7 linked regions of the Ovis aries genome follow. The protein of the gene in region 1 interacts with the protein of each later gene in a pairwise test. Links are inferred from orthologs where the notes say so. Each region holds a gene or a part of one and is shown in the gene's direction. Other genes may lie near its edges. The genes, in order: TRIM63, MYOT, GMEB1, TNNT1, MYBPC3, TCAP and CKM.

Evidence for each region.
Region 2: the proteins of TRIM63 (region 1) and MYOT interact in a two-hybrid assay, tested with the Homo sapiens proteins (2 studies listed by BioGRID). The link is inferred for Ovis aries from reciprocal best matches to the Homo sapiens genes TRIM63 and MYOT.
Region 3: the proteins of TRIM63 (region 1) and GMEB1 interact in a two-hybrid assay, tested with the Homo sapiens proteins (2 studies listed by BioGRID and IntAct). The link is inferred for Ovis aries from reciprocal best matches to the Homo sapiens genes TRIM63 and GMEB1.
Region 4: the proteins of TRIM63 (region 1) and TNNT1 interact in a two-hybrid assay, tested with the Homo sapiens proteins (2 studies listed by BioGRID and IntAct). The link is inferred for Ovis aries from reciprocal best matches to the Homo sapiens genes TRIM63 and TNNT1.
Region 5: the proteins of TRIM63 (region 1) and MYBPC3 interact in a two-hybrid assay, tested with the Homo sapiens proteins (2 studies listed by BioGRID and IntAct). The link is inferred for Ovis aries from reciprocal best matches to the Homo sapiens genes TRIM63 and MYBPC3.
Region 6: the proteins of TRIM63 (region 1) and TCAP interact in a two-hybrid assay, tested with the Homo sapiens proteins (3 studies listed by BioGRID and IntAct). The link is inferred for Ovis aries from reciprocal best matches to the Homo sapiens genes TRIM63 and TCAP.
Region 7: the proteins of TRIM63 (region 1) and CKM interact in a two-hybrid assay, tested with the Homo sapiens proteins (2 studies listed by BioGRID). The link is inferred for Ovis aries from reciprocal best matches to the Homo sapiens genes TRIM63 and CKM.

The regions. Positions count from the first base shown.
Region 1 is NC_056055.1:240,758,646-240,762,671, forward strand, and holds the start of TRIM63 (E3 ubiquitin-protein ligase TRIM63), read left to right. Parts: upstream 1-1,226; 5' UTR 1,227-1,361; coding exon 1,362-1,520; intron 1,521-2,633; coding exon 2,634-2,806; intron 2,807-4,026. UniProt on the Homo sapiens protein: E3 ubiquitin ligase. Mediates the ubiquitination and subsequent proteasomal degradation of CKM, GMEB1 and HIBADH.
Region 2 is NC_056058.1:46,995,438-46,999,570, forward strand, and holds the start of MYOT (myotilin), read left to right. Parts: upstream 1-1,333; 5' UTR 1,334-1,425; intron 1,426-3,980; 5' UTR 3,981-4,133. UniProt on the Homo sapiens protein: Component of a complex of multiple actin cross-linking proteins. Involved in the control of myofibril assembly and stability at the Z lines in muscle cells.
Region 3 is NC_056055.1:238,529,968-238,534,172, reverse strand, and holds the start of GMEB1 (glucocorticoid modulatory element-binding protein 1), read left to right. Parts: upstream 1-1,405; 5' UTR 1,406-1,465; intron 1,466-1,677; exon of another isoform or gene 1,678-4,205. UniProt on the Homo sapiens protein: Trans-acting factor that binds to glucocorticoid modulatory elements (GME) present in the TAT (tyrosine aminotransferase) promoter and increases sensitivity to low concentrations of glucocorticoids. Also binds to the transferrin receptor promoter.
Region 4 is NC_056067.1:63,060,610-63,064,109, forward strand, and holds part of TNNT1 (troponin T, slow skeletal muscle), read left to right. Parts: intron 1-1,181; coding exon 1,182-1,295; intron 1,296-1,448; coding exon 1,449-1,558; intron 1,559-3,500. UniProt on the Homo sapiens protein: Troponin T is the tropomyosin-binding subunit of troponin, the thin filament regulatory complex which confers calcium-sensitivity to striated muscle actomyosin ATPase activity.
Region 5 is NC_056068.1:76,112,156-76,115,655, reverse strand, and holds part of MYBPC3 (myosin-binding protein C, cardiac-type), read left to right. Parts: intron 1-194; coding exon 195-301; intron 302-385; coding exon 386-415; intron 416-1,287; coding exon 1,288-1,427; intron 1,428-1,627; coding exon 1,628-1,708; intron 1,709-2,329; coding exon 2,330-2,489; intron 2,490-2,799; coding exon 2,800-2,904; intron 2,905-3,000; coding exon 3,001-3,189; intron 3,190-3,500. UniProt on the Homo sapiens protein: Thick filament-associated protein located in the crossbridge region of vertebrate striated muscle a bands. In vitro it binds MHC, F-actin and native thin filaments, and modifies the activity of actin-activated myosin ATPase.
Region 6 is NC_056064.1:39,784,825-39,788,001, forward strand, and holds TCAP (telethonin), read left to right. Parts: upstream 1-1,460; 5' UTR 1,461-1,480; coding exon 1,481-1,590; intron 1,591-1,822; coding exon 1,823-2,216; 3' UTR 2,217-2,677; downstream 2,678-3,177. UniProt on the Homo sapiens protein: Muscle assembly regulating factor. Mediates the antiparallel assembly of titin (TTN) molecules at the sarcomeric Z-disk.
Region 7 is NC_056067.1:52,741,457-52,744,879, reverse strand, and holds the end of CKM (creatine kinase M-type), read left to right. Parts: intron 1-1,176; coding exon 1,177-1,300; intron 1,301-1,718; coding exon 1,719-1,908; intron 1,909-2,413; coding exon 2,414-2,592; 3' UTR 2,593-2,923; downstream 2,924-3,423. UniProt on the Homo sapiens protein: Reversibly catalyzes the transfer of phosphate between ATP and various phosphogens (e.g. creatine phosphate).

The DNA.
Region 1 (4,026 bases):
CTGATTCGAAGAACTGACTCATTGGAAAAGACCCTGATGATGGGAAAGATTGAGGGCAGGAGAAGAAGTGGGTGACAGAGGATGAGATGGTTGGATGGTATCACTGACTCAATGGACATGAGTTTGAGCAAATTCTGGGAGATAGTGAAGGACAGGGAAGCCTGACGTGCTGCAGTGCACAGGATCGCAAAGAGTCTGACTTTGCCTCTGAACAACAACTTCTACCAGCCGACATGGAAGATGGTCCAGAAGGATGTGGAGAAAATTTTAAATTGGTGCGGAAAGCAGAGGGGAATATTTGGATAATGTCTAAGTGGGTACATGGTCCTTCGGGGCACTCCATGACAGTTATTTGTGTCTGTCTCCCTTCCTAGCCTGTGAGTTTCTCAGGGCAGGGAAAAGGCTTCCTCATTTATCTCTCACTTTGTTGCCTGATGTATAGATTGTCACTGTTGTTTAGTCGCTCGGTGTCTGATGAATGAATAAGATTTGTGGCTTTGCCACTTACTTCCCAGATTACTTTGAATAAGATCCTTTCCTTCGTAAACTTCAGTGTCAAAATCTATAAAATGAGGAAACAGACTCTGTACCAAGGGAAGGAACCCTTGTATTGAAATGGAATTAGGGACTTCCCTGGAGGTCCAGAGGTTAAGACTCTACACTTCCACTGCAAAGGGTGTGGGTTCGATTCCTGGTTGAGGAACTAAGATCCTACATGCGATCCAGAAAGAAAAAAAGAAAAAATATGGAATTAGCGGCCAAGGAATGGAGGGATGGGCTAGCCCTGGTTGGGGACATCTCAGGGTCTTTAGCAGTGTGCTGTGCTCAGGGGTAGGCCTTATCTGGGGAGTTGCCCAGGACTCCAGAGAAGGGGATGGATTTATTTAGGTCAGTAAGAGGGCACTGGCTGTTAACCCCACAAATCCCAGTGGCCCCCTCACTCCTTACCAGCCTGCTGTAGGAGGAGACTAATTTTTGGAGGAAACTCTGGGTACCAGTCCTGCCCCAAGCCTGCCCACGAACAAGCTGTTCTTGTTTACGACCCCCGTCCTGAGGGAACAGCGACTGCTCATCCTTACATGTGATCTGAGAGGGTTGGTCTTTCAGGCCTGGCGGAAACTCAAGCTTCGCCAGCCACTTGGCACCGGAATGTTCAGCTGGTCTCCTCCTGGGGCTCATGTGACCAGGGCCCAGCTATAAATATCAGAGGGGCCTCAGACCAAGGCAGAATTTAGGCGCCAGGAGAAGAAGGCAAAGAGGCTCCAGGCGGGTATTCTGTGACAAAGACCCCCAGGTCTGCTCAGAGCAAGGCAGGTGAAGGAGGCAGCCAGGTGGGTCCCCACATCTGTCCCCAGGACAACATGGATTATAAGTCGAGCCTGATCCAGGATGGAAACCCCATGGAGAACCTGGAGAAGCAGCTGATCTGCCCCATCTGCCTGGAGATGTTTACCAAGCCGGTGGTCATCTTGCCGTGTCAGCACAACCTCTGCCGGAAGTGTGCCAACGACATCTTCCAGGTCAGTGCTGGGCCTGGCGTAGAACTGGGGCTCCAGGCAGCTACTTAGTCTTCCTGTGATGAAAGCTAAAAGAAAACTTCTCTCTTAGTCCAGAACCCTTCCAAACTGGACTTGTTTTTAACCCCCTCACAGTGAACCCCTGCCGAAGTCTCTGGAAGGGGTCGATGGGGCTGGGGAGGTGGCTCTGGCTGACCCATTCCTTCTCCATGACGCACTTGTCCCCTCCCCACCCTGCCTGCAGCTACCCCACCCTGTCCTGAGCACCACAGTTGACTCTCCAATCAGGAGTCAAATGCCTCAAGTGATAAGTGGGAGAGGCAGGCAGAAAGGAGAGAGAAACCAGACCCCAGGGGCTGGAGCCAGCTCCGCGGTGGCAGGGGGCCCAGATCTTTAGGAGGAGGGTGGCTGAGAGGCACTGGACAGTAGAGGCATCTTCCCCTTGAAACTGTTTCCTATAATGGGGAGCAGGAGGGGCTTCATCTCCTTAAGAAAAGAATGGGAGTGGGTGTCCATACTGGCTGAGAGACAGGCCTCAAATTTCCCCAGAAGCACTTTACAGAATGGTCTCTATTTTTTCTTTAAAGTAGCAACTCTAAGAGCTGGCTCTAATTACATGCCCATTTCATGAATGGACAAACTGAGGCTTGGTGAGAAAAGGTTGCTCACCCAAAGTCATTCCGAGAATTACTCTGCCTTGAGCCTCGGTCTGCTGACCTCCAAACCTGTTGATTCCTTAGTTGCTTCTCAGGTACTCCCTGTGTAAGTGGGCTGCCTCTCTCATATTAGGAAAGAAAGTGAAGTTGCTCAGTTATGACTAACTCTGCAACCCCATGGACGGTAGCCTGCCAGGCTCCTCCATCCATGGGATTCTCCAGGCAGGAGTACTGGAGTAGGTTGCCATTTCCTTCTCCAGGGGATCTTCCCAACCCAGGGATCGAACCCCGGTCTCTGGCGCTACAGGCAGGCTGTTTACCGGTCTGAGCCGAGGGAAGCTTTAAGTCATGTGGTTTGATGAGAATGGTGGTGGTAATCAATGGGGAAGACAGTCGGAGCTCAGAAAGGGAAGGAGCTGAGGGGGAGCCCCGGCCTCACCTCCACCCCTGTCGCCAGCAGGCTGCCAATCCCTACTGGACCGGCCGGGTTGGCTCAGCGGCCATGTCTGGAGGCCGTTTCCGCTGCCCCTCCTGCCGCCACGAGGTGATCATGGACCGCCACGGAGTGTACGGCCTGCAGCGGAATCTGCTGGTGGAGAACATCATTGACATCTACAAACAGGAGTGCTCCAGGTCAGTGCTCCCTCCACGGGGAGGCCGTCAGCCTGCCCCGGCCCATCCTGGGAGTCCAGCGCTTCGGAGCCCCATCCTCCTTCACCTGCTCTGGATCCAGGCCCCTAGCTGGAAGAGCTATGCCAGTTAGTCCAGACAGCTGTCTCCCTTAGGCATGAACAGAGGCTCATCTTATCCCCCAGCCCTGGCTCTCGGTGTCATCCAGTGAGTGGCAGGGGACCCAGACATTAGGCTGTCCTCCTAGGAGATACTGAGAACAAAATCAGGGGACAGATGAGATGTGAGAGGGAGAGTGAGGGAGAGGGAGCCACTGGGCCAGATAGGTGGCCCTGATGAGCAGAGAAAGCGTTCAGTGAGAACAAAGCCAGTTTCTCTATAATGATAACAGCAGTGCCAAACACCAGGAATGCTTCCTGCTGCTGCTTCACAGCAGTTCTATGCATTAGCAGGGCTTTCATCATCCCTGTTTCATGGAGGAGGAAGCTGGGGCTCAAAAAGGTAAAATCACTTACCCAGAGTTTCGCAGCTGAGAAGGAGAATTGCTGGGACCCAGCACAACCCATCTAGCTCCAGCTCTCCCTGAATGTGAAATAGCCACTCGTTCTTGGGCAGAATGTGTGCCTGGTGGAGGTTGTGCCGTGTTGGGGAGAGATAAAGCTACCAAGGAGATCTTTACTGATCAGCACGTCCTGACAAGAGGCTGCTGCCCTCACGGCCCTTGCGGTCCCACACCCTCACCAAATACGTGCTTGCAGGCAGTGTCCTGTGCCCCCAAAAGCCGACAGACTAGTGCTTGTCTGAGAAAGCTCCAACCAGAGAACTGTGTCCTCTACTCTGACTCTGCTACTCACGCACTGTAGGGTCTTGGGTGAGTCTCTGGGCCTCTATTTCCTCTGTCTCCAGAAACGGACAGTAAGAGTTGCTATTATGACTATCAAATAGGATGTTGATGGGAAGTGTTCAAGATGGCAAGTATTTATTGAGCATCCACTGTGTGCGGTGCTGCACTAAGCATTTTCCATGCATTATCCCCATTTTAATTCTCACAGTAATCCTTTAAGCCATTTTTACCCTCATTTTCTGATGAGAAAACGGAGACTCAGAGGTCTGTCCGAGGCCACTCAGCTAGCAAGTGGCGAAGCTGAGAAGGAGCCTGTCTGACCGACTCCGTGGTGAACATTCTTAACTGCTACTGCCTCTCATGTTGCCGGAGTTCAACA
Region 2 (4,133 bases), on another chromosome or scaffold:
TTAAGTGGCTCATTTGTGCTCAATTATCTATTTGTTGGACCCTGATGTACACAGCAATTACATCAAGGCTGGAGTATCCATGAGGGTTGTTGTTCAGTCACTCAGTCATGTCCAACACTTTGTGACCCCACGGACTGCAGCACGCCAGGCTTCCCTGTCCATCACCATCTCCCAGAGCATGTTCAAACTCATGTCCATTGAATCAGTGACGCCAACCAACTATCTCATCCTCTGTTGTCCCCTTCTCCTACTGCCCTGTCTTTCCCAGCATCAGGGCCTTTTCTAAGACCATGAGGGAGGGGAATAAATAATTATGTTTTAAACAACAGAATCATACCAGAGCTAAAGCCACTAAATATGGATAATTCCAATTGATTAGCCTGATCCTCATGTCACCTACCCCTCTCTACCACCTCTTGTTGATCTGAAGCTTTCTTCATAATTTTATACTTCTCTGCATACACACACACACACACACACACACACACACACACACACACATGGAAACATAAAAGGCTAAGATGGTCTCCTTGGTGAAAAGAGAAAGGAAACTGTGTTACTATAAGGAGTAAGGAAGATAAAGAGAGCTAGAGGACAGGGCCCTAATTGTAAACACTGCTTGATGGGTAGTTTCTTAAGTGTTTCAACTCTTTTAGAATAAAAGTATAAAGGTATAAGGTCAATAAAAGTATAAGGTCAAGGATCTGTATGCCATACAGATTCAGAGAACTTGCTATACAGACCAAATCGTGTTTTTCCACTTCCCCACCTTCCCAGTGACATGACACCATCATTCTGCTCTTGCCTTTGCCTAGACACACTCCCTCTCTTGAAACAAACTGCTTGAATCCCACTCCACCTCTCCTTCCATTTGGCAAGAGAGGAAAAAAAGAGGTCTTCATATGAATAGCTATCTAACAGAAATCAATTTGAAGCCCATCCATCAGTGGTCTTATTTCTGGAGAAGTCTTAGTAGTCAGGTGTCAGTCTTAGAATACTATTTCCCTTTCAGTCCTTTTTTCAACAAGGAAGATCAAAGCCCCCATCACAAAAAAAAAATGAGTTTTCTCTACACCTTTTCCCATTTCTCAGTTCTTTGCTGTCCCCCCTACATGTGCTTGCTAAAGCTCCTAGTCAAAGTTCACATCTAAAATAAAGAGGCTTGCAAGAGAAGCTCATGTAATCCCACTCCTTAAATATCACTAAGACATCTGAGATATTGTTTATCGTGGACTCTTACTTTGACATGCCAGCATAGGTAGATGGACAGGCAAGCACATCAGATGTCACTGCTTGGCAGCTGATAAAAGTCAGTGGTGCTATAATACTAAGCACAGAGCCACTAGATTAGTCTGCGAAGGAAGGGGATGCCTCTTCCTTCCCTTTAGTAGTAGGTTTAACCCAGCTGGCACTCTCTGGACTCGGGTAAGTCCCTTCTTTATTCCTGCTTCAGTTTTGGGTTTTGTTTTTGTCTTTTGTCCAAATCAGAACAGTATGTAAAAGGTGATTTTCAGATAAAAAGTTCAAAAGCCACAAGATCATAATGGCATTATACAAAGATTTGAAAAGAATGAGACCTGTTCATTCCACTGAAACTATAAGGCATTAAAAAAGGTAGAAGGAAAGATAGTTGTGTGTCATTATTTTTCAATCATCAGTTTTCTTTGAAAAAGGACACCTGGCCTAACTGTAACTGTGCAATGTTCTATAGCTTCAAAATATCCTCAGTTTTCTGTTTAAGTTTGTGGTATATTAGAGATAGGGGGAAAAGTTAAGATTTTTCTAAACAGGAGAGTTAATAGAACTTTACTAATAAAATCTCTGAAATTTATTTAACATTATTTGGAATAAAATGATACTGTCATAAAACAAGGATTATAGAACTGATTGTTGAACAGTAACTACAAACACAAAGAAAAACCTTCCAGAGTTATCTGCATGAACATCTGTACAAAATTTTCTTCAGACATGAAAATGAAACATTTGAAAGAATATATTTTAATTGAATTTTTTTAAAAATAACAGTAATTGTTAACTATGTAAGCTGATATCAAAATGTACAAGACAGTTGACATTCTAAAAATACACGTAAAGTAAAACAGGGAACTTTCTGGAAAATATCTACTGGCTATTTGTTTAACAGTTTATTCCTTGCTATTTGAAATTAATCTGAATGATCTGTCAGCCCAAAAAGGAATTTAGAATCAAACACTGGATTCAATTCTGCAATGGAGTAAACCCATAGTATAAAACTACTTGCCTTCAAATAGTCTCTTTTTTTAAGAGTATCTAATTAAAGCCTCCTTTTGGATGTTTTTCTCCAGTAATTTCAAGGCTTAATAATAGTTAATTACTAAAATGCACCCTAGTTGAATGTGCTTGTGTTCATAAATTCAAAATTAAGAAATATATGACTTTTCAAGTGCCTTTTTCAATAGAATCTTTCTCTTGGCTGTTTAGTTGCATTTTTTGTTCTTTCCTAAAACTGTTTAACTCTAAACTATACATACAACCTGAAAATCAAGTTGATGGGTTTAGAAATTTTTCACTAAAAATGATACTTTATTCAAGAGAGGACATTAAATAATTATAAGACTATGATTCAATGATGACAATTTGGTAATTTTACTAGCTAAAAGTTTGATTTATCATTACCTCAGTGTTGGTTTATACTATATGAAGCAAACTAAACATATTCTGAACTAAATTACTTGATATTTTGAATAATAACAGAATCCATGTTAAAACAATTTATGGGGCTAGTCTTTTTGTGTGAAGTATATATATAGTCCTTCCCAGATTTACCATACTAATGGAAAAAATCAGGTGAAAATATGTCTTTGAGGCTGATTTTAGTGGCAAATGATCCATCAAAGGAAAAATGGGGACCTACTGTCAAAAGTCAGGAGTGCCAATGCACTGTTAAGTAAGAAAAATGGCAACCACCTTTTCCTGGAAAAGTATAGGCTAGCTTCAAAGCTGCCTTAATTCCTTCTGTACATCCTGTTTGCCACTTCACAAGAAAAAAATAATACAGGAATGAAAGCAATTTCAAAATTTAGTCTAAAATACATACTAAACACAAAAATAATTTAAAGTGAAACCAAATAATCAAGAGAACAGCAAGACCAATAACTAGATAATAAAATCAAAAAATAACAAAAACTACAAAGGGTTCTGGAATACAGTAACTTATATACATACAGAGATACTTGAAAGCAGTCACTCCTTAATTATCATCTAGTTTGGTACTATGGTCAATTGGGAATCAAAGGGAGAAAAAGAGGCAGTGAATTATAAGGTAAAACGAAATCCACTCATGGTTGACAACAGTGAAGTACAGGCGTTTGCTGTACTTTGTGAAATTGTAAAAGGATGAAGGAGCAAATATGAACAGTAATGTTCTTTAGAAAAGCAGCACACTGCTCGCCTGGATTCACCATGTGATTCATCACAGATCACCAAGGCATGAATTAATGGTGCATCAGAAGAGCTGTTCATTGGTATTGATGAGCAATGGGAAGAATTCAAACTGAATAGAAGCTAATATATTTAACTGTTAATAACTTTAAATCAGTAACTCTCTGTGGCTAATGAAACTGCAGGCTTTTGTCAAAAGCTAAATATGAAATAAAATTATCACACTGAGCAACATCACAAATTTTTTTTTCATCAACAAACACTTGGCGAACTCAAAATCAAAACTTTTCCTACATCTTGAAGCCCCCAGGTGTGCTTGAAGAATCACCCAGAGGCAAACAAACACTAATGAATTATTTTTTCTTATTCCCAAGTGGAAGTCATTTGTGCAAAGGCAACGCATAAAGGAATGGAAAGTCTATAAGCCAGAAAAGTTCCACCTTGAGATGACTTTGAAAGTACATAAGCTTTAAGAAAAAAAAGCACATAAACTCCTAAAGATCTTAAACAGTACCATTTTTATGTAAATACTGTAACTGAATCACTTTCTTCTTTTGAAGGAACAATATTCTTCAAGAGAAGGCCACTCCATCAAAGCCAGGAGCACTGTATTCCCAGGATCTCAACAAGGAGGCACAGACCAAGGTCGCTTCTGATTCACTGCAACCTTCTGTAATTCCAGGCTTGCAGACCCAGATTCAAGACCCCACCCC
Region 3 (4,205 bases), about 2.2 Mb from region 1:
AGCCTTGACTAGATGGACCGTTTTTGGCAAGGTTATGTCTCTGCTTTTGAATATGCTGTCTAGGTTGATCATAACTTTTCTTCCAAGGAGTAAGCTTCTTTTAATTTCATGGCTGCAGTCACCATCTGCAGTGATGAGCTTTGATAACCAAGCCTAGAATCCAGGTTGTCTAGCCCCCAAATCCTTTTCTATTGTCTGACTCCTGGGCTGCCTCGCCTGTTCTTGAACCAAGAGCCTGTAAAACTTCCTGTTACTTCCTCATGATACAGAACAGAGATGTGAGTCGTAAGAGCAGGCAAGATGGGGAAGCAACTCTTTCCCCCCAACTCAAAAAAGTGCCTGCATACCACCACCTCATTCATTCTTAATAAAGGTAGCAACCATCTGAGTGCTCATAACTACACATTCCACAGAAAGAAGGACCTATAGAATCCTGGCTATACTGCTTACAAGTTTGGTGACCTTGAGGGGTTCATTAATTTCTCTTGGCCTCCTGTGTTTTATCTGTAAAATGGGAGTGAAAAGAAACTACTTAGTAGAGTTGCCAAGAGGATTATATGAGATAAAGGAATCTTCTTCAAGGTCCGGCCAAACAAAGGTCTTCATTTTTTTTTTTAAGCTAATTTTATTTATTAGCAGAACAGATCTTATTTCCCTGACCAGAATCAAACCTGTTCCCCTCGGCCCCCCTCTTGGAAGCAAGGAGTTTTAACTAGTGGACCTATAGGGAAATTCCCACAAAGGTCTTAATATTTGCTAATTATTACGACTGGCCCCAGGAACTTTCCTAAGCATTTTCAAGTATCACTTGTTTAAACGCTAGTAACAATCTATGTCCTAGACGAAATAGGGGCTTAAAGCTGTCAAGTAACCCCCAAAGAATTTATGGGTTCTGACTTGAACCCAGAACCAACTCGCAGCCAGAAAAGGCTTGGCAAACATGCATGCGTCAGAGAGGGCAAAGGAGTTTGCTTACAGACTCTATACACAACCAGATCTTTTGACTCCAAACTGGTAGTTGGATCATCACTTTTGAAAAGTCTGGTAAATGTAAGCTTCATAACCGGATCTGAGGAATGAAAGGGGGCACGCAGAGTCCTCCAAGGGGAGTCCTGCCTTTGTTCCCGATTGCGGATGAGGTGTCTTTAATTTAGACCACGTTTTCCTCATCCATGAAGTGGGGTTAGAAGAGTTATTAGGGTCCCTGGCGTCCCTACCAACACTAATTTTCCAGAGCAGGAGCTGCTCTGATAAAGGCCCCAAACTCTCCGGCTGAAGTTCATCCTCCGCGGGCTGGCAATAGGGACGCGTCCCCTTTAAGGCTCCAGCTCGCCGGCGGCGGCGGCCGGAAGTGTTGAAGCCCGGCCTGGCGGCGGCGGTGGCGGTAGCGGCCGTGGCGGCCTCTGCGCATGCTCCGTCGCCCGCCCGCCCTGGCCGCTCGCCGCCCGCCCGCCCGACGGAGACGGTGAGGAGGGGGAGGGGTGGGCGCTCGGGCGCGGGCGCGGGGTGGGGTGGGGGCGGGGGGGCGGGCGCGGGGGCCGCGCGGCGGCCGGCGAGGGCGGGCGGGCGCGCAGGGGGCGGGGGGCTGCTGCCTCCGCGGGCGCCTCCCCACGCCCTGTGCGTGCCGCCGCCGCCGCCGGGGAGCGAGCGGACGTCGCGGCGCCGCGGGGGGGTGGGGGGACGCTGCCGCTGGGTCCGCCTGAGCAGCCGGGCCGCCCCCAGCGCGGCTGGCCGCGCCGCTCGGGTCCGGCCCCCGGCCGAGAGCGGCGGGGGGCCGGCGAGCCTGGCACTGGGGGGCCCCGGCGCCTCCGGACCGAGGGGCCCGGAAGTCCTCTGCCGAGGGACCAGGAAGGGCCGGAGCGACTCCGGACTGAGAGGCCCTGACATCTGGGACCCCGGGGAGGGGTCTGGGGATCCAGGGGGTATCCCTAAAGGCGGGATCCGGGGAGCACCAGGCCCTTTGATGAGGAGCTGGGGATGAGGCCTGGGTCGCGCTCGGGCTAGGGGGTAGTGGTGAAAGGAGGGGGCGGCGAAGAGTGAAGGAAGCCCGCTGCCTGCCCTGGAGGACCTCTCGGAGCCTTGGGGTTGGCAGCCAGGGCAGACAGTGGGTTCTGCTGAGGAAAAGAGTGTCCAGGCTTCACCGGGGGCGCCTAGAGGCCTCGGCCATTCAGCCCAGGGGAAAAGAGGCAGGTGCTTCCCTGAAGGCACAGTGACAGGTCCAGTAAGCAGGGGACAAGGAAGAAGAGCTCCAAGGGAAATTGAGCAGGCCTCTACCTTCTCCTAGATGAGGGGGCGGTAGGAAGACACCTCAGAGCCTCCAGAGGAAGGAATGAGAAGGGTCCAGATCTGTGAGGGAATAAAAGAGTTTGGAGTACCTCATATAGGTAGAGAGCAGGGTGATGTGGCCTGTTGTGGATGGGGAAACCTGAGTTTTTGAGGGCCGGAGAGATGATTGTTGGGAAGAAGGCTAGCATATCCCTGCTTTCTAAAATGACGGGGGAATCGGCCTGGTGTTTCCTAATTGAGGGGCAGGAGAGGTGAGAGCAGACTCTTGAGGGTCCTGGCGTGTGATCCATCCGGACTAAGACACGTCAAGTCTTGATCATGGGAAGCTTTGGCTGTCTTAAGGAGGAGGAGGAGGCATTCTCTCAAGATGAGAGAAATTCAAAAACAGTTCCTAACAGACACAAACAGGGGCCTTAACTCTTGTTTATTTAGGAGAACCAAGAAGTGGCATTTTCCTCCTTAACCTGGAGGATTAAGGAAAGAGAGGATCAGCTAATTTTAGTCTCACAGGATTCTTTTCTCTCTCTTTGCTTATGGAACGTTTGGGGAACTTTTTCATTAAATTGTTGGACTGACCTAATTTTTCAGCCTTTTATCAATTATGTGTATTTATTGTCTACTGACGACTTTTTTCATTAGTTACCTGTTAGTTGCTTACTCGTGTTTACAGCAAGCATATTGAATAGCCAACTTGTACTCAGCTTCATGGGGTTAGTTTGGGCTGTGTTCTTGTCCTAAGAAGAAATCTGCTCAACTGTAGTAGGTTGACCCTTCAAAAAACCCTTTTTGCAATTGCTTCTCCAAACACCTTCAGAGTAGTCACTATTAAGTGATTCATCTGAAACTTCACTTGCTCCGGCTTTTTACCTCAGTGGTCCTGTGTAGTGATCTGTTGGCTTCCTTACATCTGGTAGTGCCCTAGATCACCTAGGGAGTTACCATGAAACAGAATAAAGAAGGGAAAAAAAGGAGTTTTGACCTCATGTAATAATAAAATTTTTAAGTTGGAAATTTCTTAGAATAGGCTACATAGTCTACCACAATTAAAGTATGAAACAAATACATTTTGGAGTTAGAAAATTTCAGGATATATGGTATTTCTATGACTCCCTCTCAGCTACCAACTGTCATGTTCCTATGATCATGTGACACTTGTGCTTACATCTATCTTGCCGTGTTTTTTAAACTTTTCAGAACACAAAAATGAATTTAATCCAGAGTAGTTCAGCTATCATTGATTTAATATTTTGATAGTTTACGTGAATAGTCATGTAGTTAATCTCAAGGTGTCTGTCTTGTCTTTGAAAATAACTACAAATAATTCTTCCTTTTCTCAGAAGTTTGACATATTTCCCTTATGTGTGTTCTCCTAGAATTACAGAGTGTTGTGTGATTCCACAATGAATACTCCAAGGTCCCATCCATGAAATACCCAAAGGAGCAACTTACTCATCTTCCCTTAGTTTTTGTTGCTATAAACAAGAGCCACTTTTCAATTTACACTCAGCTCAAAGAAATGACCTTCCAATTAGCCAGTGTAGTCTGTAGAGGTGGTTAGGGTTTCTTGCTCAAAATATGGTATTTAGGGTAGTAAGAGATATTCAACCCAAACTTGCTTCTCTGAGGAATGTAAGAATTGCCATGTGGGATCAGACCTGTGTCTCTGACTGACAATGAGAGACTTACTGTGGATGATTATAATTATCTTTTCTGGTAAACTCTCAGAAGGTTAGAGAAGCAGCCATAATATTGCTTTTGAGTTCCAAGGTGTGGGAGGGGTAAGAAGTAAAATACGAGTTCTTATTGAGGAAAGTATTAATCAAGAAGTTAGTCAACCACTTATTCAGAGTATTGTAGAAAGAGGACTCAACCTTAGGGTAGAAGGTTGAACTAGAAGCATCCTTCTAATTTTGCTTTTC
Region 4 (3,500 bases), on another chromosome or scaffold:
AGGAAGCGCAGATTCTTAGCCACTGGACCACCAGGGAAGTCCCTCAAACCACTTTTAAAGAACAGAAATTGGGTGCTGTGGTAGACAAAGCACTGGTCTCCCGGAGGAAGGGGACCTGAGCCAAGGGATGCAGGCAGCCCTGAGAAGCTGGAAAAGGCAAGGGAGTGACTCTCCCCTCACGGCCCTAGAAGGAGGCTGTGTGCCCCGTGGCTTATCCCCCGAGACCCACTGCAGGCTGACCTGCAGAAATACAAGGTGATAAACTGACATTGCTTTAAGCCACTGTGTTTGCAGATTACAGCAGTGAGAGGAAGCTCATTCAGGTGGGGAATTATGGGCAAGCCCCACACCTTGCCTGTCCCTCCAGTGGGGAAGGGCTTTGGTCGGGGCGAGCCTCTAATTCTGTACAATGCAGACTTTCCGGATGTGGTCACGCCTCAGTGAAGGCATTCTGGAGCCCCTTCCTCAGGCTCTTGACTCTGCGCCCTCCCCGACTCCCATGACCAGTTACCCTCTTTGCCTCTCTGAGGACAGTTGTTCTCCTCTCATGAGACTAACGGAGAGTGAGTCTCAGAGAGGGCAGGTACCTATACATAGGTCACACAGCAAGATCACCGCTGGCCACTGCAGGCTGGAGCATGCAGAGAAAAGCAAGCATATCCCCACCCCCACCCCCACCGCCGACCCCGCCAGGTTAAGTTTTCCTGGGGGCAGGGGCAGCATATTAAGGCTCGGAGAAGATGAAGAACTGGCCGGTGGTCACACACCCAGGCCTGAAAGGGGCAGGAGGAAGTGTTTGCATCCTTGTCTGTTCTGATATTGACCTTGTCTCTCATGAGCTTCCCTGGTGGCTCAGATGGCAAAGAATCTACCTACAATGTAGGAGGCCGTGGTTTGATCCCTGGGTTGGGAACATCTCCTGGAGAAGAGAATGGCAACCCATCCAGTGTTCTTCCTTGGAGAATCCCATGGACAGAGGAGCCTGGAGGGCTACAGTTCACGGGGCTGCAGAGAGTCGGACATGACTGAAGCGACTAACACTCACTTTCTCATGCTTGAGTCTGATCGACCCCTGATTCACTCAGTGCAGAATCGGCCTCCCTGACGCCCCCTCAGGCGCCCTCCCCTCTCAGTCCAGCAGGGTGGGGGAGGCCCAGGGATGAACCCCGTTCTTTCCACAGGAGGAGAAGATGCGGAAGGAAGAGGAAGAGGCCAAGAAGCGGGCCGAGGACGACGCCAAGAAGAAGAAGGTTCTGTCCAACATGGGTGCCCATTTTGGGGGTTACCTGGTCAAGGTGAGTTCAGCCTGCTGGGGCCTGAGGTCTGGGGTCCCGGGGGAGGCAGCTGGGGTCTGAGGAGGAGAGGCTGGGGGCCTGGACCCCCGGGTCTGAGGGGGAGGGGCTGGGGAGCCACCCCCCCACCTCATGGTGCCCCCTTCCCACCCTCAGGCAGAACAGAAGCGAGGGAAGCGCCAGACGGGGCGGGAGATGAAAGTGCGTATCCTGTCTGAGCGTAAAAAGCCTCTGAACATCGACCACATGGGAGAAGAGCAGCTCCGGTAGGCGGGAGGGGCCCGGGTGGCAGACAGGCAGATGGGCGGCCCCTGGCCCAGGTCTGAGTGGGCGGAGGCCCCGGCGCTGTGTCGCTGTGCAGGCGTCTCCCCCTCTCTGGGCCATTCCCCTGTGGAGTGTCACTGATGTAGGACCTATGTTTTTGGTGCCAAGACCTATAGAATCTGGGAGATGATAGGAAACCAGACCACAGGGCTGACCAAAACTGAGGCGATAATGTTGTTTTGATGGTGTCCCTTGGGAATTCCAAGTGGGCTCCATCTTCTGCCTGAATTAAAGCCAGACACACTGGCAACAACTTCCCAGGCAAACCTTTTCTGGTGGGAGCTCCGTCTCTCCCTTCACAGCTCACTCGGGGCACAGCCTGCCTGTCAGGATAAGCCCTCAGAGGGAAGGCCAGGGAGGGTTTTCCCTGGGGGGCCTCCTCTGTGTCTGAAGCGCCCAGGCACGCCCCTTAAAGTCAGAAACACCTGCCACCCCAGAGGCGGCGAAGCGAGGGGACTTGGAGCTCAGTACTGGAGACTGCTTGCCCGGGGTCAGCGCCGGCTCCGCCGCTTAAGCTATGTGATCTGAGGCAGTTGTTGACCTCCGCTGAGCCTTGCTTTCCTCACTGGTAAAAGGAGGCTGTGATAACAGTCTACATCACAGAGCAGAGCAGTGTCAGCGAGCAGTAGCCCCGTGTGGAGGGCTTGCAGCTCCGTGAGGTAGATACCATTATACTATTATCCCCTCAGGCTGGAGATAACAAACCAGAACATTAAAGCAACCAACAAACAAAAAAGGGCACAGAGGGGTTAAAGAACCTTTCCAGGGTTGCACAGCTTGCAGGCACAAGAGTGGGGATTGGAACCCAGGAAGTCTGGGGTGGTAGTCTGTGTTCTTCATCCCGTATTTACGAAGAGGCATGGTGGCTCAGACAGTAAAGCATCTGTCTACAGTGCAGGAGACCTGGGTTTGATCCCTGGGTTGGGAAGATCCCCTGGAGAAGGAAATGGCAATCCACTCCAGTACTATTGCCTGGAAAATCCCATGGACAGAGGAGCCTGGTAGGCTACAGTCCATGCGGTCGCGAAGAGTCGGATATGACTGAGCGACTTCACTTTCACTATGATGGTAAATGCTTCCCAAGTGGGTCTCCAGAGGCTAAAAGTCCACATCTCAGCGTCTGCTCATTTCCATGGTGTAAATGCTCCCAGGACGCTGATTTCAGACCCCTGCACTCAGAGTTGGAGATGGATATTCAGAGTCGACTCCAGCCCCCTCCCTCCCAGGAAACATCGCGGGGCCTGGACTAAATAGTGTGTCGAGAATGTTCCTTTTTTTCTCCGCTCTCCACCCTACACCACACGTCTGCTCCTTGTTTGGGTCCGCTGATATTTTTGGAGGATGTCAAGTTACTTAAGTTTTATTTATTCAATAGAGAGCATATGATGGTCTAGAAAAATTTAAAATAAAATACACCACAGAAGAGAGAGCATTTGAAAACCATTAGCTGGCAAAAGAAAACCATTAACTGGAAAAAGAAGACACAGAATACTAGTAAGAATAAAAAGAGTCGTAACAACTAGCTTATCAAGTGTTTACTGTGCGCCAGGCACTTTATACCTGTTCTCTCATCCTCTAATGGCTCAAGGCAGTAGACTTTTTTGTCAGTTCAGAATAAGCTTAGCCTTTGATAACTGAGATCCGACTATAGCAGCCTAAAACATAGAGGTTTGTTTCCTTACGTAGAAGAGATTTGTAGTCCACAGAGGGTGTGGCAATTCTACAAAACAATGAAAGACTCAGCCCCCTATTTTTCTGCTCCACTACTTTTACTCCAACATCCATTTTCCAAATCACTTCGTGGTCCAACGTGGCTGCTGGCGCTCCAGCCAGCACATCCAAGCAGCAGAAAGAAATTGCAAGGCAAGACCCACAAAGGCTCAC
Region 5 (3,500 bases), on another chromosome or scaffold:
AGGGGTCGAATCCATGTCCCCTGCGTTGGCCGGTGAATTCCTAACCACTGGACCACCAGGGAGGTCTGAGAAAACACTCTGCACACCATTGAGCCAGGGCAGGGCAAGAGCTCCCTGGAGCCCTGGCTGGGGTGTCTGGTGAGGCAAGGGGTGCGTGGCCCAGCAGGGTCCCTTGAGCCACCACTGCCCTCTAGGGTCCACAAGCTGACCATTGATGACGTCACGCCTGCAGATGAGGCGGACTACAGCTTTGTGCCGGAAGGCTTCGCCTGTAACCTGTCTGCCAAGCTCCACTTCATGGGTGAGCCGGTGTGAGGGGCAGAGGGGCCCCTGCAGCTGGGCCTGGCCTGCACCCTGGTGCCACTTGCTCTTCTGTCTCTTGCAGAGGTCAAGATTGACTTCGTGCCCAGGCAGGGTGAGTCTTGGGCCCCGGCTTGCTGCCTCCCCCCACCCCGCCAGGGTCTCCTCTCCACTCAGCAGAAGCAAGGAGCTGGGAGTCGGGACCTGGCTCAGCCTGAGGCCCAGCCTCAGCTCTGCCACTCTGACCACAGGCCAGCTGTGGTCTATCTCAGCCTCAGTGTCCTCACCTCTAAAATGGGGACCCTGAAGTGGCTCCCCAATGGGGTGATAGGAACGCTGACCTAAGGTGGTATGTGTGAGCTTGCAGAGGACATCACAGTTGTGGGGTTTTATTATTGAATCTTTTTTGCTTTTAGAAGTACTTCTCCTGCATTTAGGTTAAACTGTAATCAGGCATTTTAGGATCTTAACTTCAGGAGACTCATCCAGGCTGAGGCAGGCTCCAGGTCAGGGCTTTCCAAACAGGGTTCATTAAGTTTGAGAAACTCTGAACCGTCCGTCTGTCTACTGCTTGTTGATTCGAAAAGTGCATTGGCACGTCAAAGGCTCTGAAAAGTCCTACTCAACTTGGTTTAACCCAGGGTTTCTTAAATATTTTCCATGGAAATTTTTTTTTTCTAGGAAGACACTGGTGTTCCCCCAAACACAATCTGAGAAATGCTGTCCTAGGTGACCCAGTGTTCTGAACCTCCCTGGGGCTTCCTGGGCAGGTGTTGATGGGCAGTGGTTACATGGGGGCATGTTCATCAGCACTCGTTAAGCAGGGTGCTCAAGTGTTGGCGTTTGATTGTATGCAAACTATACCTCGATAAAATCAATTCAGAAAATAAACCAGCACCCAGGGCATGTGCTTCTTCCAGTTGCCCCTTCTTTCAGAGGCCTGGGGCCCTTTTCTTCTTTCTCTGACCTGTCCTATCTCCCTGCCAGAACCTCCCAAGATCCACCTGGACTGCCCAGGCCGCGTGCCGGACACCATCGTGGTGGTGGCCGGGAACAAGCTACGCCTGGATGTCCCTATATCCGGGGACCCTGCTCCCACTGTAATTTGGCAGAAGACCATCACAAAGGTACTGTGGACCCCTCCCCCCATGCTCCTGTCTGTAAAGTGGGTGCATGGGCCCAGCATGCTGCCCACCCCACCTGCGCATGCCTTACAGCTGGCCGAGGGTGGGCAGAGACAAGGACAGGGTGCTTGGCCGGGTTCCCTCCAGGCCAAACCAGACCTTCCTCCTCCTCCCTCCCTCCTTCCTTCCCGTCCTGTTTCCAGGGGAATAAGGTCGCAGCAGGACCAGCCCCCGATGCATCAGAGGAATCAGGTGCCGGTGACGAGTGGGTGTTTGACAAGAAGGTGAGTGAGGCTGGAGGAGGCTCGTTTGCCTGCAGTGAGTTTCTGTCCACGTGGTGTCCACCCTCAGGCGAGGTCTCTGCTGAGGTGCCCCATCGAGCCAGCTGTGTTCCTGCCCCAGGCAGGGTCTCCACCCTCCACACCCCAGGAAGTCCTCCGGATTTGGGGGCTTGCTGGCTCTTGTCTTCCTGAGGCCGCCTTGACTTTGTGCTCCCTCCCCGCGGGGGAGTGGGTCCCTGGCCCTATCCGGTTGGATTCGCGGCCGGGGCACCGCTCCTGGCTTTTCCTCCTCCTCCACGCTGCTGCTTCCGCTGCCCAGCTGAGGTCTTTTGAGATCCTCACAGTAATTGTGTGAGGTCCTTTAGGTCAGAAAGGGAAACTGAGGATGGAGAGGACAGGTGACTGCCTGACCTTCTGTGACAAAGCGAGGGCCGTGCTCCGGGCAGGTGGTGGGAAAGGGTCTTGGATTAGATGCTCACACGATGCAGTTTCCACTCAGGCTGTGCCTCCCCAGCAGACCCGGGCTGAGCTCCGTGCCCACCTCAGGGCTGTCGGTGGCTGCAGAGGCTGCAGGAACCCCTGGGGTCTGACTTGAGTACCCCCCACCAACTTCTCCCCCACCAGCTGCTGTGTGAGACAGAGGGCCGGGTCCGAGTGGAGACCACCAAGGACCGCAGCATCTTCACCGTCGAGGGGGCTGAGCAGGAGGACGAGGGCGTCTACGTGGTCACAGTGAAGAACCCTGTCGGGGAGGACCAAGTCAGCCTCACGGTCAAGGTCATCGGTGAGGCGGGGGTCCAGGGGAGAGCACGGAGGGAACCAGGGAGGACCGGTCTGTTCAGTCCTTTAGTGTCTCAGCAGACGTCGCGGGCCCCTCTCAGATCCGTAGACCGGGTTGGGACTTGGACCTGGGGGCACACAGGCAGTGGGGAGCCATAGCGGGTTGATTGCAGGCTGGTGACCTGATGAGAACCGCATTCTGTAAAGGTGGTGTTAGGCTGTGGGGGCACGGGGGAGCCTGTTGGTTAGGGTGGTGAGGGGATGGGCACCGGTGGCCCCGGCTAGGCAGAGCACATGAGGGTCCACTCCCCTAGATGTGCCAGATGCTCCCGCGGCTCCTGAGATCAGCAAGGTGGGCGAGGACTCGTGCACGGTGCGCTGGGAGCCACCAGCCTACGATGGCGGGCAGCCGGTCCTGGGTGAGCTGAGGGCATGGGACCGAGCCCTGGGCGGGGCACGTGGGACGGGGGTGGGCTGAGCTGCAGGCAGACCAGCGTGCCTGCCTCCCCTTTCAGGGTACATCCTGGAGCGCAAGAAGAAGAAGAGCTACCGGTGGATGCGGCTGAACTTTGACCTGCTGCGGGAGCTGAGCCACGAGGCGCGGCGCATGATCGAGGGCGTGATCTACGAGATGCGGGTCTACGCAGTCAACGCCGTGGGCATGTCCAGGCCCAGCCCCGCCTCCCAGCCCTTCATGCCCATCGGTGAGCCCTGCCCCAGGCCGCCACGGCCAGGGCGCAGTACCCACAGCTGCCCTGTGGGCTGCGTCCACACCCCTCGTCTTCCTTCATTCCCGTCATCTCACAGGTGAAGGAAGGGAGGCTCTGAGAAGTAAATGACTTGCTTGGGGAGCCCAGCTGGCAGGGGGTGGAGCTGAGACTCACCTCTCCAGCCTCACTTTTCGCATCTGTGAAGTGGGGGTGATGACGATGTCTGCTTCACAGAACTGCTGTTAAGATGAAGTGAGAGCGCGCAGGGGCAGCATCTGGCGTAGATGTTTCTTTCTCCTGTTCCC
Region 6 (3,177 bases), on another chromosome or scaffold:
GTTAAGGTCTCCAGCCCAGGATGGGGAGGCGGGAGGTAGGGGGAGACCTGGAAGGAGCCAGAGTAGGCCTCAGCTGATACTGGGGTCTGAAGGTTTGGCTGGGAGGAGCCTGGAGGCGAGGCCTGGGCTTCTGGGTCACTGAGGCACCTCTGGGCTCTGCTCACCTCCTCTCTCTGCCCGTCACACTTGGGACCACCAGGAAATGGCCCTCCTTCCCTCCCTGCAGGCTTCCTGAGGTGCTAACTTGCATAGACTCAGGGGTGGGGGTGTTGCCTCTTGGGCCCGGCTAGGCATGTGACCCCGGGCAGGTCTGCCTGCCTGAGCCTCCATTTCCCACTTTGCTAAAGCTGTGTAAGATGAAGGCACCAAGGATCGGGTATAGTGCTCAGTAATCAAGAGGGTGCCCACGGGCCTGCCTGCTAGGGTCTCATCACAGCCTCTGCCCCTGGCCTTCCTGGTGCCCTTTGCTTTGTCCACTCAGTGACACCCCCGCTGCTCCTCCCCCACGCCCTCCTCCCTGTGTGCCAGCCTCCTGTCGCACACACTGCTGCTCTGGGGGGCGGGGCTGTCCCTGCAAGCCCTTCAACTGGCCTGCTCCCTGGGGACCAGAGCCAGGCCCCGCCTGGTGGCACCTTGGAGCTGGCAGCCCCCAGAGCTCTTCTGGTAAGGCCACTGTGAACAGAAAGTGAGGAAAACGAGGCCCAGAGGGGGTGGATGCCGCCCCCTACTCCACAGCCTCATTATGGCTGATTTGGGGGCTGGAGCCAGAACTGGCTGCCACCCACTGGAACCGCTGGAGTCCCATCTCACCCCAGCTGAGGAGTGGGGTAGAGTCGGGGGCCGCTTCCCTCCTCGTTCGTGTCCAGGATCCCAGGGGTGGAATTAACTTCCGATGCCCTTGCCAGTGAGGTGGTGGCAGTTGGGAGCCAGGCCTTTGGGGGCAGACGCCTGAGGAATGGCACTGTCCCTTTTGGTGGGGGGGCACGGTCCAGGGGGTGATGTGCCCTTGAGCCCAGGCAGAGGAGAGCAGCGGGGACAGGACCTGACGGCCTGGTACAGCGCCCAGAGGGGCCCTTGGTTCCTACTGTTTCCCGCTCTGTTTACAGACATGTCCTCCCTGGGCGAGGGGAAGGGGTGGGGCAGACGGCAAGTGCCAAGGTGGCACGAGGCTGGGCATGTGCCTGGTCATGGGTAGTGTCTTGAGGAGTGTCAGACACCTGGAGGTGTCACTCTGGGGACCCCCGCCCCCACGGGAGCATCTTGATCTCCTCAGAAGCTGACCTCTGACCTGGGGGCAGCCAGAATCCGGGTACCCCCCCCCCAGCCCCGCCCTGGGCTCAGAGTCCCCCATCAGTGAGTCTTGGCTCTGCTTATAGCATCTGACGCCAGAGGGGCTGAAAATAGCCCCTGAAAGAGGGGGAGGAGGGGGATATTTAAAGGGCCTGGGAGGAGGAGAGCCCAGAGGGAGTGAGCAGCCATCATGGCCACTTCAGAGCTGAGCTGCCAGCTGTCGGAGGAGAACTGTGAGCGCCGAGAGGCCTTCTGGGCGGAGTGGAAGGATCTGACGCTGTCCACAAGGCCTGAGGAGGGGTGAGTGCTGGCCAGTCAGGAGTGCCCCGTCCTCTCCCTCAGAGCACCCTTCCTGAGACTCAGGAGACCAGAGCACAAGGCCTGAGGGGTTCTGGGGGTGGGGCCCAGGAGGGTGCCTGCTGGGGAAAGTGGAGTCGCCCCTCCAGCAGCCCCAGGGAGCTCTGTCGCCCCGCCGGTGAGTGGCGGGCAGCAGCTCTCAGGGGCTGAGTGTCCCTCCGCTTCTCCTTCCCAGTTGCTCCCTGCATGAGGAGGATGCCCAGCGCCATGAGACCTACCACCGGCAGGGGCAGTGCCAGGCGCTGGTGCAGCGTTCCCCCTGGCTGGTGATGCGGATGGGCATCCTCGGCCGTGGGCTGCAGGAATACCAGCTGCCCTACCAGCGGGTGCTGCCTCTGCCCATCTTCACTCCCGCCAAGGTGGGCGCCACCAAGGAGGAGCGCGAGGAGACACCCATCCAGCTGCAGGAGCTGCTGGCACTGGAAACAGCCCTGGGAGGCCAGTGTGTGGACCGCCAGGACGTGGCCGAGATCACCAAGCAGCTGCCTCCCGTGGTGCCTGTCAGCAAGCCCGGCACCCTTCGTCGCTCCCTGTCTCGCTCCATGTCTCAGGAAGCACAGAGAGGCTGAGAGGGACTGTGACTTGGGCTCCACTGTGCCTGCCCTGGGCTGGGCCCTTCCTGGCTAGGACCATGGAGGGGAGCTGCTGGTCACGGATGCTTCGTAGTTTGCCCAGAGTTGGGGGCTAGGGGAGGAGGGAGCCAGAGGCCAGGATGCCTGGATCTCCTGAGTTCCCGGAGGGAGGGGAGCGGACGATGGGCACAAAAGGTGAAGAGCTGGGGGCCAGCACAGCCAAGTACCCCCAGCCCTAGGAGGAAGGGCTGAAGAAGCTGATGAGGGCAAGAGGTTCCTGAGAGGAGTAACCCCAGTCCAGATTTCAGCTTCAGAAAAGGATGAAGAAAAACTGTAAGAGGATCTGGAGTGCTCTGGGAAGGAGACTGGAGGGAGGGGGACGTGAAGAGGGCAGAGGCAGGGTGGAGCCCCCAGCACCCTCTGTTAGTGCTGCAATAAATGCTCAATCACGTGCCAGAGTTTCGTCTCTTTCCTTGTGGTTGAGGGGCCCACCCATTGGTGTCCCCCCCAGTGCTCACTTCTGGGAACAGGCCCTGCATCTCAGCTAAATATGGCAGAATTAGTGGGTCACCCCATGCTTGAGGGGAGGGGCTGTAGGGACAGAGCTGTAAACAGGGTGGCTATCTGCCTAGTCCCCCTGACTGCCGTGAGCCCTGGCCTCTGCCTCTAGTCCTCTGGCACTGTGCAGTGCCCAGGAGGCCAGTTGGCATCCAGAGTTTATTGAAATGATCTCATGGAGAATAAGGAGGGGGCTGGCACCAGGACTGTCAGCTGTGCCAGGGTGTGGATGGGGTCAGTGACCCCAGGTCTCTTGGTTCTGAATCCAGACAGAATCAATCCTTGGCTGGGGTCAGGTGTTCCACCCTCCGTGGCCTGGGAGCCCAAGGTGGGTTGTTGGGGGTAGGGTGAGTGTGTAGAGGGTCAGGTTCCTGTCTGTGACCTCTGCAGCTGTTGCAGT
Region 7 (3,423 bases), on another chromosome or scaffold:
AGACCACTACAGCAATTCTCCAGGGTCATCTTGCCCTCCGCTCCTGCCTTCCCTGTGGTCTGCATGTCACATTTTAAAAAGCTTGAAATTCAGATTTGAACCAGACTCCTTAGGTTCAAATCCCAGGGCTGCCATTTACTAGCTGTGTGATCTTGGGCACGTAATTTAATGTTTCTCTGCCCCAAATCTCCATCTATAAAATGGGATCGTGATAATCCATAGCTCTTGGGGTTCTTATGAGGATTAATGAACTAATTTATGCAAAGTGTTGAGAAAAGTGTCTGGTATATAGTAAGTATCCATACTGGCCATTGGCATGATATTTATTGCTAATTATTGTTGTTAGCTGGGCTTTCTAGTAATTTTTTAATCCCTGATTCTGATGAAAGTGAAAGTTCCTCATTCGTGTCCACTCTTTGTGACCCTATGGACTGGAATTCTCCAGGCCAGACTACTAGAGTGGGTAGCTTTTCCCTTCTCCAGGGGATCTTCCCAACCCAGGGACAGAACCCCAGGTCTCCCACATTGTAGGCGGATTCTTTACCAGCTGAGCCACAAGGGAAGCCCAGGAATACTGGAGTGGGTAGCCTATCCCTTCTCCAGAGGATCCTCCCGACCCAGGAATCTAACCTGGGTCTCTTGCATTGCAGGCGTATTCTTTACCAACTGACCTATCAGGGAAAATGCCCCCGCCTTCATTCTGATAGTCAAAGGTTTTAAAAGGTTTTGAGAACCTCGGTTTCAAACAATTTGGAGAGTATAGGTTGTAAAATTTTAAGTGTTTTCAGGTTCCACTAATGTCAGATTTTGTGATTCAATGGTTTCAAACATTTCCAGATCCTAAAGTTTTCCAGTCTAAGACTCCTTCTGCGATGCCACAATGTCATGGAAGGTTTATCAACTCTGATTCTCGGTTTCCGTTTTTCAGCGATTCTGATATTCTAAGATTCTATAATATTGTGCAAAGAATTAAGACCCTGAAAGCCACTGATCCCACGATTCAAGATTTCACGGGTCCTGTGACATTTAAAGGTGTAAGCTCCTGAGACTGAGATGCTCAGGCCTCGGGCCCTTTAGGCCCGCTGCCCCCTAGCGGTGGCCGTGTGTTTGCAAGAGGGAGGGGAACCGGGTTCCCGCGGAGCTGGTTCCCTGACCTTTTGCTGCGCCCGATGCTAGGCACAATGACAACAAGAGCTTCCTGGTGTGGGTGAACGAGGAGGACCACCTCCGAGTCATCTCCATGGAGAAGGGGGGCAACATGAAGGAGGTTTTCCGCCGCTTCTGCGTGGGGCTGCAGAAGGTGGGTGCCCGCCCTCGTGTGACTCCAAGTGACCGCCCCCCCAGCCGCTTTCCCGGGCCCCGCCCCTCGGAACCCGGCTCCTCCCCGCACCGAAGCCACTCCCCTCAGCGGTGCTCCTCCCTCGCTTTCCAAAGCCCCGCCCTTTGGAAAACCGGCCCCACCCCTATCCTCAAGCCCCGCGGACAAGAACCGGCCTTCAAGGCATCCTCAAGCCCAGCCCCGTCAGAATCCAGCCATCACTTGTGCGGTCGGGCCCCTGCCCCAAGAATCTCGTGTCTCCAGGTTTTCCAGACCCGCCCTCTCGGAGTCCTACCACCACTGACATTCTCACCCCCTGTCCCTCGGAGCCCTGCCCCGGTTGTGGGTGCATTTGGGGGCACCCACAGGGCTGATCCCGGGTCCTCTCCCCCTACCTCAGATTGAGGAGATATTCAAGAAGGCCGGCCACCCGTTCATGTGGAACGAGCACCTGGGCTACGTGCTCACCTGCCCATCTAACCTGGGCACCGGGCTGCGGGGAGGCGTGCATGTCAAGTTGGCGCACTTGAGCAAGCATCCCAAGTTCGAGGAGATCCTCACTCGCCTGCGCCTGCAGAAGCGAGGCACAGGTACGGCCCAAGTTCCCTCCTGCGGCTTCCAGCGCTGGCCCTTAGCGATGGCTGAAGGGAAGCGGGGGCATCCCCACGGGTTCTGGGGGGCGGCAAGGGCTGCTCCTCTGTGAGTTTCAGTCCTTCCTCTGAAAATAGGCTTCAGCACGCCTTATCTCAGAGAAGTCCATATACCATCATGGTTATATGGTTAATATACACTGTGTATGTCCCTGGGCGCCTAGGGGCCTCACTTTCCCATCTGTAAAGGGGAAGATGGTCAGGATTCGACCCCAGGCAGCCCGGCTCCTGAGCTCAACTCCGTTACCCACAGTGTTGGATGTTTGAGGGGTGAGATACCTAAAGCCAGCCCGAGAATAGACAGACGCTCAGGAAACTGCATGAATTTAACACAGTAGGCATTCACCCAGGACGTCCGCCTGCGCGGTTGGCACGGCGGCCCGCGTTCCAGGCCCCGCTCAAGCATTTCTGCCGGCTCCTTAGCCCCTGCCTCCTACTCCCGCAGGTGGTGTGGACACGGCTGCCGTGGGCTCAGTGTTCGACGTGTCCAACGCCGACCGGCTGGGCTCGTCCGAGGTAGAACAGGTGCAGCTGGTGGTGGATGGTGTGAAGCTCATGGTGGAGATGGAGAAGAAGCTGGAGAAGGGCCAGTCCATCGACGACATGATCCCCGCCCAGAAGTAGGCGCACAGCCAGCCCGCCGCCGACTGCTGGAGCCCCACCCTAAGGGAGGACCCAGCCCACCGGAGGCCCGCCCCTTCCTCCTGGAGCCCAGCCTATAAACGTTTGGTCCACCTGGGGCTCTATCTATCCTTCTAGTTCCAGTTCCAACCAGAGTTCCAACCAATGGGCTCCAGTCTCTGGGTTCTGGCCAATGAAAAACCTCCCTTACGGTCTCCTTTTTTTTTTTTTCTCAAAGCTCCGCCCACCATCAGGAGCTCTGGCTAACGGAGCTCACCTTGAGCTGTTGCTTTTTCTCCACTCTAAGCAACAAATAAACGCAATGGTGGCCTTAGCGTTCGGTTTGATTGTTATTAGTACTGAAGGAGAAGGAGAAAAAACTTCGGCAGTTGGCTACTGTGTGACCTCAAAGCGGCTTGTCGTCTCTAGGCACGTCTTAGGGCTACACGTTTTATCCCATCTCTAAAGTGAAAGCGTTAGTCGCTCAGTCGTGTCTGACTCTTTGCGACCCCATGAACTGTAGCCCTCCTGGCTCTTCTGTCGGTGGAATTCTCCAGGCAAGAGTACTGGAGTGGGTAGCTGTTCCCTTCTCATCTTTTCCCATCTTTAAAATGAGGCAAGTTCAGGGTACAGCATCTAATGAAAACATTACAAGGCTCTATGGGGAATCTGCGGTCCCGAGAGCTCTCAGTCACCTCTGCTCCTGATCACTCATGCTCAGATCTCAAACACAGGACCCATTCTAGGGAGAAACGGACGTCAAACAAAATATCTGAATTTGCCCTCCGGGCCTCTGGTTTGAGACCTTGCATGCATCTCATCACTACCTACTTC